Linked DNA regions of Drosophila melanogaster. The protein of the gene in region 2 interacts with the protein of the main gene of each other region in a pairwise test. Each region holds a gene or a part of one and is shown on either strand. Other genes may lie near its edges. The genes, in order: RecQ4 and seq.

Region 1 (7,661 bases), on a different chromosome or scaffold from region 2:
AACATCGGCACGAGAAGCCAAAGGCCTCACAAAATGGCCAAGTCATAAAAAACCTTTATCAAACGCTTCGCTGATCCGACAACTTCAATGATGTTTCTCTGTTTCCAGTTGTCTGTGCCCTGAGTTGTTGTTAGATCCCCCCATTTGTTGGGTTGTTTGCTTCGCGTTCGTGTGAACTGAGGAAGGACGACCTTTGGCTAGGCTTCGATTTGAAGATGACACCTTCGACCGGGGTTATACATTTCGTGATGTTATTGGGAATGACTCAGCCGGATGTTTGTTTCTTTACGGGCTCCATCGAATTGATTTCTGCTGTTTCATTTGAAGCCGTAGCTGCAATTTGCCTCTAAACGAGCTTGGCATTTGTTTACTTTATTTTAGTGCTCTGTTGTTTTCGGCAATGAAATTATCATAAATTGTTATTGTTCCATTGGCGTGGGATTGTATGGTGCAAATTTATTAGCTAATGAAACACATAGATTTAGAGAGTTTAAAAACCAAGCTAAAAATTTAGATTGTCCGTACGAATTTCTCTTTCCACTCATAATAAGTACAAAAGCTGTTTATATAGAATTTGTAATTTATTTTTGTATTATCAGACTTGTGCGAGTAAAATGTTATTGAATGGCATCACATATTTTTAAAATTCTTGGAGCTATTAATTGGTTAACCATGGTATCGGCGGTTCATCCCGACATTACGGTCACGTACGCCTCTTGATAATAGCCATATTGGCCAGGTGCAGGATGCGATTGAAATCCACTTTGACGTGGGCACGCCAGAACTTACAGCGTCCCCAGATGACAGCCGGATAGTTCGGGCTCATGATGCCATGAAAGATGCGCGCAATATTACGTCCGGTAAATGTATTGTCCGGGTACATGTTTATTAGAGCATGAACGTCGTCTATGATGTTCTCATCCGGCACGTTACTTGGCTAATGGACAGAGAGGAAAGCAATAAAAGTAAGAAATTGAAATGTGTTGCCAAGCAATTACCTCTATTTCCAGCTCCAGATCCTGTGGGTAGTCATTGGCAAAGTAGTTGCGCACGATAGCCTTTAGCTGCTCGCCCCGATCCTGCGGAAAATCCGCATTGCAGCACTGGCCACAAGAGCTGTAGGCCACAGCAGCCAATCCATGGGCCACATATTGCAGCTGGATGAGCTGCGTACGCTCCTGTTTCACGGATCGCGTATAGAGAGTGTCCAGAGCGTTGTCGATCTCTGATTCGGTAAAATCGCCCGGCACCTTGATGCGGAATCCCAAATCATAGAAGCTCACCGTGATGGGCGATCGCTTGGGATATCCATTTACTATCGAAAAATTAATTTCTAATTAAACGGATCCTTTTTTGAACGGATTACCATCTCACCTTTTACCCACTCCAGATCCTTCAGTTGGTATTTGACCACACCACTGTTCCAGCCAATTCCTGCCGCGATATCTGTGACCGAGAATTCTATGATGTTAGAGTCCTCCTTGAATGTCTTATCTCTAATCTGCAAAGCAATAGCCATGGCCAATGGTGGACATTCCTTTGCAGCATGCCTGTGCAAGGAAAAACCAATAACATTAAACACATACACAATACACGTGTCTAAAGGACTTACTTCAAGTACTTTGGCCCACCATACGAGATTACCTTAGCCATCACATATGCTGAGCTGAGCACACTGATGCACCATCGGGGATCAAGCTCCATGTAGCAGAGCAAAGTAGATATGTTCTCCGCCGGGATGTCCAGCATCTCAACGGTTTTCTCCACGGAAAAGCCAATCTCGTGTCCCGGACACATATGCACTCTAGGACCATCACCTTCAAGGGGAATCGGAAGAGCTGTCCTCTTGGAAGCCTCCTTGTCACAGCTACATGGCACAAAGATCTTTTGCAGCAGCTTACGGATAACATGCCGATCAATGGAGTTAGAATACACATGGCGACGCAGCTCACTCTGGTCGCCACCCTTCGCATCCAAGAAGAGGTGACAGTGGGAAGGCAACCCGTCGCGTCCTGCTCGACCAATTTCCTGCACATAGCTCTCAAAGTTTCTTGGCATATTATAATGGATTACCGCGCGTATGTCCGGCTTATTGATGCCCATACCAAAGGCAATGGTGGCCACCACAATGCGCAGCTCATTGCTCATGAAGGCCTTCTGAACGGTTCGTCGCCTGGAAGCGGGCATTCCAGCGTGATAGGGCTCAGCCTGCCAATTCACACGTTTACGTTTTTTCGTCTGATCCTGAGTTGGCTCCCTACGGTCTTGCACGCACGTTCTAATAAACCCAGCGATACGCTCACACTCGTCACGACGCGTACAATAGATAATAATGGACTGGCAGGGCTCGAAGCTAGAATGATCAAAATGTATTTAAGTCTCCTTCAAGTTTCAAAGATGGTGGGCCAAGTCTTACCGTTCGCTATTGAGCAGTTGGAGCAGAGCTGCATCCCGGTTCTCATCCTTGGAGACGGACAGCACTAGATTGTCAGGCAGTGGGATGTCGCTTATAATACCACGTTCTCCATCCGATATGCCAAGGTGATTTATAATGCTAACACGCGTTGGCAAAGTTGCCGTGGCTGTTAGCCCCAGCACTGTGCGTACACCGAGATTCTTTCTCAGCACCTTGCAGATCATTAGGTAGCTGGGTCGAAAGTTGTGACTCCACTGAGACACGCAATGCGCCTCATCAATACAAGCGAATGCAATGGGCGGCAGCTGGCGAAGAATGGCTCCAAATCCTGTGGCTCGTTCCCCGGCGACAACCGCCTCCGGAGAGACAAGAAGAATGTCAATCTCCCCATTGGCAATCATCTGCTGAATCTTCATACGCTGCGGCGCGGTCTGATTAGTGTGCAGGCAGTGAGCTCGCAGAAAGTGCGGCACCCCGGTCACCTGATCCTCCATAAGTGACACCAATGGTGAGATGACTAGGGTAATAGCTCCCACTTTCCGGCTATACAAATAGGCGGGCAATTGGTAGCACAAAGATTTGCCGCTGCCCGTGCTAAGTGTAACTAGCGATGATAGTCCAGAGAGAGTGCGCATGATGGCGCGATCTTGACCTTTCCTGAAGTTGGTGTGCCCGAACATGTGGAGTGCCTCTAGGACCTCTGGCGTCGTGTCCTGGACACTGCCATCCGGAAGGAGATCGTATAGGGGCTTCACCCCACCGTGCTGGCTGCGATTCGAACTAGAGGCTGTGGTGTCCAGTCCAGCCTGCTTGAGGAACTCCTCGGGAATCTTGTGGCCGACGTATGTCTTAATAGGTGAAGCTGCTTTCTCTTGCGAAACCGGTTGGCTTAGGGAAGCTTCGACGGCCGCATCTAGGGCCTCGAAATCAACGTCCATTTCATCGCTAGACCAATTTGGATCTGGATGCTGCTGTACCTCCTCATCTCCGCTGCTTTCTTGGTCATCTTCCTCTGACTCGTTCAACTCATCGCCTTGCAGGATGGCTGCATTGGCCGCTTGGGGCAGCCGTGAGATGTTGCGACTGTGTGCCACCACTGCTCCCTGACTGGCCATCTCCTGAGCCTCGGCAAGCGTGGGAAACGGCGAGGGATCCTCTTCCAGCTGTGCCGAAAGTGGCAACAAGCTGTCTCCCTTCACCTTGCACTGCTGAGCGAAATGCCCGACTCCGCCGCACTGGAAGCACGTGAGCACTCCGCCATCACAGCCACCCATATCCATGTCCGGCCCACTCAAGGCAGCCACTCGTTTCTTATGCCGCCACTGTTGCTTCTTGTACTTGCTGAAGTTCACGGACTTTTTGCCACGCACGAATTTTTTCTTTTGAATATTTATGGTCACAAAGTTCTCGTTTAATTTACCAGCTGCTATGCGTTCCTCCAGCTTCTTTCGTGCTGCGGCTCTCTTTTCATCCACTCGAATGTTGGACCCTTCCGACAATCCTGGGTTGGGTCCAGCGGCGAAGGTTCTAATATAGCGCTGGGCGGTAGCATCCGCTTCTTCTAGATCCTGCACATTAATGCGCGGAACGGAGGTAATATCTCCCGCCTCCAAGGCCAACACGTATTTCAAATCTTCTGGATTCAATGGTTGGCGCTCATCCTCTTCTGGATCAGGAGCCGGCTCGACAGCGATGGCTTTTTTAGAGTTCCTCGGCTTTTTCTCCGCCTTGGGTTTCTTTTCGGCCTTGACTTTGGCTTTCTTTTCTGTTTTCGGTTTTGGTTCCGCTTTGGGCTTAGTGGTCTTTTGTTTTCCGGCGGCTTGCTTGCGCTTTGCCTTATCTTTCTTTTTATTCTCTGGTACATATGTAGCATCCTGGTCTTCATCTGCAGAGAAATCTGGATTCTCTTGAGCAAATGTTTCTGTCTCTGGTTCGACTTTGTTGGGAATTTCAACTGGGGCGGCTACTTCCACTTTTCCTGATGCTGTTGAAACAATTTTGCGACGTTTTGATAGTTGCCGATATTCTTGTGGTTCCTGCTCTTCTTCACTCTCAGCCACAACAGAGTCGGAATCCGAATCGGTTTCCTGCTCGGAAGGTGGAGGTTTATTTTTAGGAGCGACTGATTTTTGACTGGATGCAGGAGGTGTGTGATTAAGATGATCTGGTTTCTGGTTCATGCTAGAATTCATATCTGTTTGCAGCTCCTGTATGATTGCCATTTGATCGGGCTTGGCCTGCAACACTTTTTCCTCCTTAACAGTGGGCTTTAGTTTACTTAAATCAAGATTGGCCAGGCCAAAGTTTGTTTTCTTGGACGTACCACTGTTATTATTTGCTTCCGCAAAGGGCACTTCTTCATCAAGAGTGTTTTCCTTTGTATTTCGCCGGAGCCAGCCGTCGTCCACCAGTGTTTTGATACTTTCCTTGCTGTGCTCACTGGCCAGCATTGGATTGTTAGCTATGGCCTGCTGCTTCTCCTTGTACTCCTGGGCTTTGCGTATGAGTATGGTCTCAAAGTCGAGCAGTTCCTCGTGATGATCAGTAGGAACTGAGCTAAGTGATGTGGTGGAACTAGAGGAACTGACACAACGTGAAAGCGGCTTTCGGGGATTTCGTTTAGCAAAACCGCGTGAGGATTGGAATAACTTGGCACTCAAGCTGGGCTTAAGACTAGCGCCCGCTTTGGGTTGCTTTCCGTGCCCCGGAGCGGATTTGGAGGCCTCTACAGGCTGTGGTGGAGCTGGTGGCTTCTTACTCACATTCAAGCCCCAGGCATTTTGGTTGATTGGCAGCTCCTCCACCGCCTCGAATTTGCGAATGACATGGTTTTCATCGCGATTGACCAGATTGGTGAGTACTTGACGATTGGGCAGGTCGATGAGATTTGAGAATGAGCCCTCCACCGATTGTGGAATTTCCTCAAGATTACCAGAGCTCTGCGGCCCCACCAGTGCAGATATATCCAACGGTAGCTGAGGACCTTCATTAAGACTGACGTCCTGGTCCAGCATGCTCACACCGAAATCACTGGCCTGCGACATCTCCAGAATATCGTATCCATCTTCGCTGAGAACATCGTTCAGCGTCTCTTCCAGGAAGGATGTCTTCAGTTTGTAGTACATTTTGTATGAGTCCCGAATCTCCTGACTGGCGTCCCTTATATCATACTGCAACAGGTCAACCAGTTAGCATACTTGTCATATCCGCATCCCAATCTCACCTTCGATGGAACACGGCCATTCTTCTTCTTGAAGTCCTTCTCCCACACCTTGACGCGCAACTTGTACTTTTGGTATTTTAGCTTGAACACCGAATCGTCCATGTCGGCGGCTGTCTTTAATTGTCAATATTATGAGGAAACCAACATTGGAATCAGATTTCGTTAACTAATAAACCAACACAAGTGCAGCTGTTTTGCTTAGCGCGCGCTTTTTCACCGACCTTGCCAGACCAATGGCCATGTGACAGAGTGGCCAGACTATCACATGCTGGGACAGTGGGCAAAAATACAATAATCTGCTTAAAAAAAATAAAAACTTGTCATCTTTAAAAGAGCAGCAAAATAATTTATTGTCAATTATAGGCAATAAAGGTCCAAGTAAACGTTACATTTTTATTGATATTGCTGCGCATTTTATACAATTTGTGTTCGTTCTTGTAGTAAAAAATATCGAAGCTTGGCCGTTGCAAAATGCAATTTTCACAATGATGCTATTTAGGTGTATGCTCGCAAAGGGCTTTCCTCGCTGGAATAACTGAAGATTACAGGTAATAGCTACGTAAATAGGAGCAAAGCAAAGCAGCCGCACGGCACTTCCAGCAGGGTGAAGAAAGCGGAGGAGGGGAGCTGTGAAAGGCAGGGCGAGAATGTGAGCTTAGGTGACAAGGTGACTACATGAGTATCAGAGCAATCTCCTCCGGCTGCATCGATGGACAGCGCCAATTGTAGAGGTAGTACTGCAGGTTTCCATCCCCGGCGCCGAATTTTAGCGGTGCAAAGTACTTCTTGTTCTCCATGAGGTCGAGGGCATTGTACACGTCCATCTGGACATTGCGGGCCGAGATCAGTGCATCGTTCATCAGGTCCAGCCACGGGGTCTTTGTAGACACATTATAGAACGAATATGCGGCACGAACCGTCTTATGCACCGGATGGTGCATCACGGACGATGGCAGGCAGTAGTAGCTAGTCAGATCAGTGATGTTGCCCTTTTCGTCGGCAACCACGAAGCAATCGATAATACCTTCTTTGGGGGTAAACCAATGACGAAACTCTTCCTTGCTGAACACCGGGCTCAGCTGAAAGCGCTTTAGGTAGTCCTCCAGCAGCTTGTGGGCCTTGTCCATGTCCTTCGCTGTGATTCGGCGATAGCCCTTCGTCTTGGGCTGATCGGGTAGCTTGTACAGCTTCATTGTCCGCTGCATGGTCATGTTACGTGCGAGATGAGAGAAACGCACGTCTACCAGCTTCTTGGGATTGAGCGATCGATGCCAATAGCGACAGGTGGCCACTGGCGTGGGCAACACAACTCCAGCTGTATAGGCCGCCTGGAAAATCCCCGTCAGATTGACGCGACGCGTTATCTCCCGAATCAGGACTGGAGCCACCCGTTTGCTGCGCAACTTCTTGTGGACGCATAGGAAGTTGATGTCCACAACCTTTAGCACCTTGTCGTACGACTTCAGCTTGCTGGGAATGGCTGAGATGAAGCCAACCAGTTTGCCGGACTTCTCCACACGAACGCCAACATGCCAATCGCGTTTCCAGCCAGGTGGCTGCAGCGACCACTTTAGAAACTCGGGTTGGTAATCGAAACGGAACATGGCATCATCGTCCTCCACATAGTTCTCATTGAGCAGCGTGTACAGCTCCTTGAGATCATTGGCGTCGTTCAGGTCTAGTGTCACCCATTTGAAGCCGCCTGGCAGAGTGTATGGCAATGCTCTAATCTCACTAATTTCCTTGTTCGGTTCAATGCATTCGTTGGTGGTCACCTGCTCGTCCAGCTTGGTGACTGGCTGTGTGGACCAAAATGCAAACTTCTTGGCCATCTGACGGGTGCTGGCCATAGCATCGGAAACGGCTTGTAGCAAGGCCTGTTTGCCTGAAAGAAACGATGATGCGTTGAATAGTATTATAACATTTTTCGATTAGTTTAAACTGGAATGACTAATCTGCCCCAAAAAAAGCTTAAGGCATCACGACAGTGGACTAGTTTCCCATGACAACAAATTTGCCCAA
Region 2 (5,242 bases):
AGGATTACTACCGATAAACGCACCTTACTGACGGGCACGTCATGTTGCTTGAGAATCTGTGGTGAAATCAACGTCATCTTGTGGCGCAAATATGCGTTGCAATTCTTGTAACTGGCCGGAAAGTACTGGTTGGCCACCTTCTCCAATTTGCGACCACACTCCGGCGGCACCACATACCACGTCTTTGGCGCCCCAAAGTGTAAGTAATTGATGGAATAGAGATCCATGTCCTCCGTGTGCCATGCAAAGGTCGTCTTCCACATGCCAAAGTACAAGTAGGCTGTGTTCACGCCGTCTATCTGGATGTTATAATCCTTGTTGACATAGTCAAGAATTGTGCCCAGCCGGTTGATGTTCCAGCTCTGCAACGGCAAAGGCAAAGGCAACGAATCATCAGCTAATGCCCAAACCTAAACCCTAACCCTAACGAACTTACATCCTGGTCTGTGTCTGTGATACTTCCGCTGACATCTGCCCCATAAATGGGCGCCACATATGTTATGTTCTTCCAGTATTTGCGCTCCAGATCCTCAAAGTCAAAGTGTTTGGGTGTGGCGTAACGCTCGGTGCTGGCCAACTCGCTAAACTGCTTAACTGTGAGTGGCTTTTTCTGGATGTTAATCTGCTGGTAGTATCCCTGTTTGCCGGTTACCACCTGGCAAATGGGCGCCGGAATTGTGACATTTAGAGCATCGAGATCGGCGTACCCACTGCGACGGGGCACCCATTCCGGCGGAGGCACCACCTTGGCCAAACCGGCTTTGTGGGCACCCTGGGACTCCATGTAGGCCACGTACTTGGGAAAGTCCTTGAACTCCTCCCAGGTGGGTCGGAAGACCTTGATGCGTGGCACCTCTGACATTTTCATTCTCGTCTCAGTTTTTCTCTTTTTTTTCAATTCCGACCTGTTGTCGGACACTTCTTTCACAGCTAGGGTGCTTCGATCTGGAACTGTGATAGAAGCAGCATTAAAACTCCGTACTCCCGTGCACGGCCCATTAATCCCGGGCAGATGCCATTCATGATCAGCCCGTCTGCCTGCCCCATCGCTAAGCGCTCAGCGATCGGATCGCTTGGGATCGGCATTCTGGCTGGCAGTCACAAAACAAACAGAGAAGGAGCGCTGAGGGAACAGCTGCAACTTTTCGAGGTTTTCTTTTTTTTTTTTAATGGGCGCGGCAGCTACAACAGCAGGCAGGCAGGCAGGACGACTGGCAGGAGAATAGAGGCTGGCAGGATATGCAGTTGCCGTTTCCCCCGCCCCTTTCATTCGAGTGGTTTTCCTCATGGGCCAGCCGGACCCGCAATAACCCATAGGAACCCATAAAAAGTGCAATGATCGTTCGTTTGATAACCTTACTAACTACGAGGAAATGTTGTAAATTAAATAAGTATATCAGATTTCATGCACAACCGGCTGAAAAATTGGGAGTTAAAGGAATAAGCGGTAATATGGAAATTATGTATGTTGCCTGAAAATGGTAAATTCGATTCATTTCTTACCACAAAATTATTTCGATTAAATATTAAATGATTTAGTTATGCTATAAATTACAATTGAATTATGCTGATAATATATCGATGATTGTGATAAATGTAAACAACTTTGCCAAAAAGTTGTAAAATTCAGGTATTCGAAATTTAAAAAACTAATTAAAATTAAAACTCCTATGTAAGTAAACATACGAAATATATTTAAACGATCCCCGCAGGATTAGGATAACTTAAAAAATAATTTTACTAATATTGACGCTTTGTCTTCACACTATCACTTAATTAATAGTTACAATTAGCATACAAAATTATTGAACTAAAATTTATTTAAGACTAGTTCGCAAAACTATTTTGTTTACATTTTATAGATCCCAAATAAAATGATTGATGAGTGTAAAACGTAAAATAAAACAAAAGTACAAGTCATGCGTGATTGAAAAATTTCTCTGTGTGTATTTCTGTATACGATAAGCCTCCCAAAAAAAAACACAATAAATCAAGATGAAGGGGATAATTAATTATTGAGCCCCATGACGAACCGTTATTCCCGCGGCAAGCCATTTATAGGGATTGAAAACGCCCAATAAGCAAATGACACAAATCCGGCGACATCTTTTTCCCAGTCAATACCAATACCAATTGTTTTTCCGTTTGTTTTTCCTATTTTCCGTACAAGCAGACTGAAAGCTCTGCAGGCCAGAGGAACAGCAAGGATAACGATAACGAGGACAACGCTGTGCGAGACATCCCAGAGCACTAGATGAAAATTTACGCAATTTTTCGACCACGTAGAAAACTGTACCACCACCCGAGAATTTCAGAGAGCGAGAAGACCAAAACCGAACGAGAGCGGAGAGCCGACGATGTTGGGGAAGGGGAGGGGTAACGGGATAACTGAGAGGGGGGAGCTGACGAGTGCGCAAAACTATATGCTAGTTAACAAGGAGAGAGCAAATATGGTGGGAAGAGCGAGTGAGCGGGCAGGATATACTCGCTACAGAGGAGATTCGACATGGGCGAGTCGCAATGCAGCGAGTGCGTATGCATGTGTGTATGTGTGTTTACGAATATGTGAGTGTGTTTGTGAAAGGACGAAATTTGGAACTCACTTGTGATGTGCTTTGATGGGTTTTTTTTTTAGTTCTGCTTCTCTAGTTTATTCGGTGTTCTCCATGCGTAAATCCCAACAAAATGTCAAAAGTACTTTTATGACTATATGAGCAACTCCAACTGGATGTGACTAACGTTTTGGATGCTGCTGCGTTGCCTTTGTTTGAAGTGATTTGTAGTTTATTGCACATTATTTTTTGTGTATTTGCATATGAAACTTCTGCTGGCGTTTTAACTAACTGTAACTAATTTGCACAATTTGATGTTTTATACGATACACTTGAGCACTATTTTCTGGGTTTTGCAATTCTTGTAGAATGATTTAGCTTTGGTATTATTTTATGTTATCCTGCAACATCTGATGGCGTCGTTGTTTTGCGTTTTACACAGTCTTCGACTTGATGGCTGCTGCTCTCTCTCTTCGAGGATGTTAATTTATATATATGTATATTAATGTGGATGGCTAACTGGCACTCACGACGGGCGCGACATGTCTGAGCGGTCTGAGTGGCAAGCGTCGACTGAACGCCAGTTCGATGCCAGGACGATGGCGACGCAGGCGTCGAAAGAACTCGCTCTTCGCTCGCACTCGCACTCGCACTCACACACACAGCAAGCACGCAACACAGACACGCTCACGCACACACAGTCGCGCCGCACAAGAGCGTTGTCCTTTTAATGCGAATGCTCTGGTCAAAGCATAATGCGAAAGGAAAATTGGTGTAGAGCAAGAGGGAGACGGCGCAAACAAGTTTGACAGGATAATTGTGGATAGGGAAATGCAAGCCGTGTGGAAAACTGGCAGTTTTAATCGCTCCTCCTTTTTCCTCTATTCATTCGTGGATCGAACAATGCCTTTTTCCTCCTCTTTAGTTTCATTGCGAAAAGCAAATGTGGCGAAAGGAAAAATGCATTCGCCATCGCGAATCGTGAATCCATTCGCACATTCTCTCTCTTTCTCTGCATCTCAGTAAGCAGTCAGAGAAATCGCAAAGGACTTAATCCTCATTATGCATTGTCCTGGCACGGATTTCGGATTTTGGCGAAGATCTAATCTAGGACTTTACTGATCCCGGATCGCCAGTGATCGTTTGTAGGTAAACGACAGATACAGAGGCTAGAGGTTGAGGATCCACTTGAGACGGGTCGCAAGGACTCTCTCACTTGAGACGGCTTCGTGTGTCTCGTACTTAATAATTGCATATTTGTATAATAATTGCAAAACCAACAAATAGCGTTCAGAGCAATGGCTCGTTTGGAATAATTGTTTGTTTACTTTTATGCTAGCCAATTTCAATCTAATGCTTTTTATATAGTGTTTTCGATAGATTTTCCATTTTAAATGTATTACACATTTAAGCTTGATCCTGTGAACTCCGTTTGCAGAATTAGTACCATTTAAATAGAATTATAATTTCCAAGCCGATCGCATTATATCTTTTAAATCATAACGCCCTCAACTATATTTCTCAATAATTTCGTTAATAAGAAAATGTCATATTGTTGCAACTGTTAAGGACATTAATTTCCCCCAAGCGCAAAAGCATAATTTAGTAAATCCCCTATAATGTTCAATTTAATGGCATATGCGCTTAGCGAATACAAATAAGCACATCTGCAACTGCATCGAGCAATTATGTGATAGCGTTTCGATAACAAGGTTTCTTGCATCCTGTGTGCAGAAAACCCATACAAAAACCGACGCAAAATAATAAAACAGGACGGGGAGTGAAGGAGAGGAACAAAAAAAGGAAACCGGGCTGAGTAATTACAGCAGCTTGAAACGGTGAAAGGAATGCCCCGTGGTAGTATAATTTACAACATGTCATTAGCCCGGCGACGCCTATGGGAAAATGGAGCTTGGGGGAGCGGCTAACGGCAGGATCAAAGCGTGACCAGAGCACAAAAGAACGGTCACACTGCTCGGCAGGACTTGAAACGAAAGAAACAAAAAGTGGCGGGGTGTCCAAGGATCCTGTCCTCAAAACTTGTCCAAAGCAACTCAGGCATAACCCACAGAGAGAGAGCAGGAGAGAGATAGAGAGAAACAGAGAGAGGACGAGCGGAAAAGGACGAAAGAGAGAGAGCTTGCAGCCAAGCAGCGAGAATGACCAGGCGGCGGCTTCAACTTCCGGCAGGAATGGCTCACACACACACATACTAACAGTGCAGTTGTGTACACAATGTGGTCATTGACTGAACGGTAAAAAGCGAAAACAGGAACCAACAGCAGTAGCAGCAACAACAACAACAACAACAACAACTGCCGATGACGTCGTCGATGAAGAACACACGGAGAACCGCCATAATGCGCGTCCCCTTTTTCCACATTCCCACCGCGCCCCCCTCCAACACCAAACCACTCCGCCTGTCATTTTATATTCCATTTTACAAACACACACACGCACGCACACACATTCGTCCTGTGCCTCGTGTGATTTCACAAGGCATTTCTCTTCAGCACAATTTCTCACAAAATTTCAATTCGAGCTCGGCTTCGCCTCAGCTGCGACAACAGCTACAAGATTATTTATGCTTTTTTCTATGCTTGTTCCTGCCGCTCGTCGTTGTTGTTGTTGTTCTTGTTGTAGTTGTAGCTGCTGTAGTTGTTCCTGCTGCCAGTTGCCTGTTTATATCC

What was found.
Region 1: the proteins of seq (region 2) and RecQ4 interact in a two-hybrid assay, tested with the Drosophila melanogaster proteins (one large-scale study listed by BioGRID).

Annotation. Positions count from the first base shown.
Region 1 is NT_037436.4:8,170,116-8,177,776, forward strand, and holds RecQ4 (RecQ4 helicase), read right to left. Parts: upstream 5,864-7,661; 5' UTR 5,742-5,863; coding exon 5,640-5,741; intron 5,587-5,639; coding exon 2,417-5,586; intron 2,354-2,416; coding exon 1,613-2,353; intron 1,551-1,612; coding exon 1,375-1,550; intron 1,316-1,374; coding exon 999-1,315; intron 938-998; coding exon 704-937; 3' UTR 525-703; downstream 1-524. Other genes in the region: Nmt (N-myristoyl transferase), read right to left, coding at 6,311-7,524.
Region 2 is NT_033778.4:13,186,958-13,192,199, forward strand, and holds the start of seq (sequoia), read right to left. Parts: upstream 3,130-5,242; 5' UTR 2,604-3,129; intron 2,297-2,603; exon of another isoform or gene 2,131-2,296; intron 952-2,130; exon of another isoform or gene 869-951; coding exon of another isoform or gene 437-868; intron 363-436; coding exon of another isoform or gene 24-362; intron 1-23. Other genes in the region: Kdm4B (lysine demethylase 4B), read right to left, coding at 24-362, 437-868.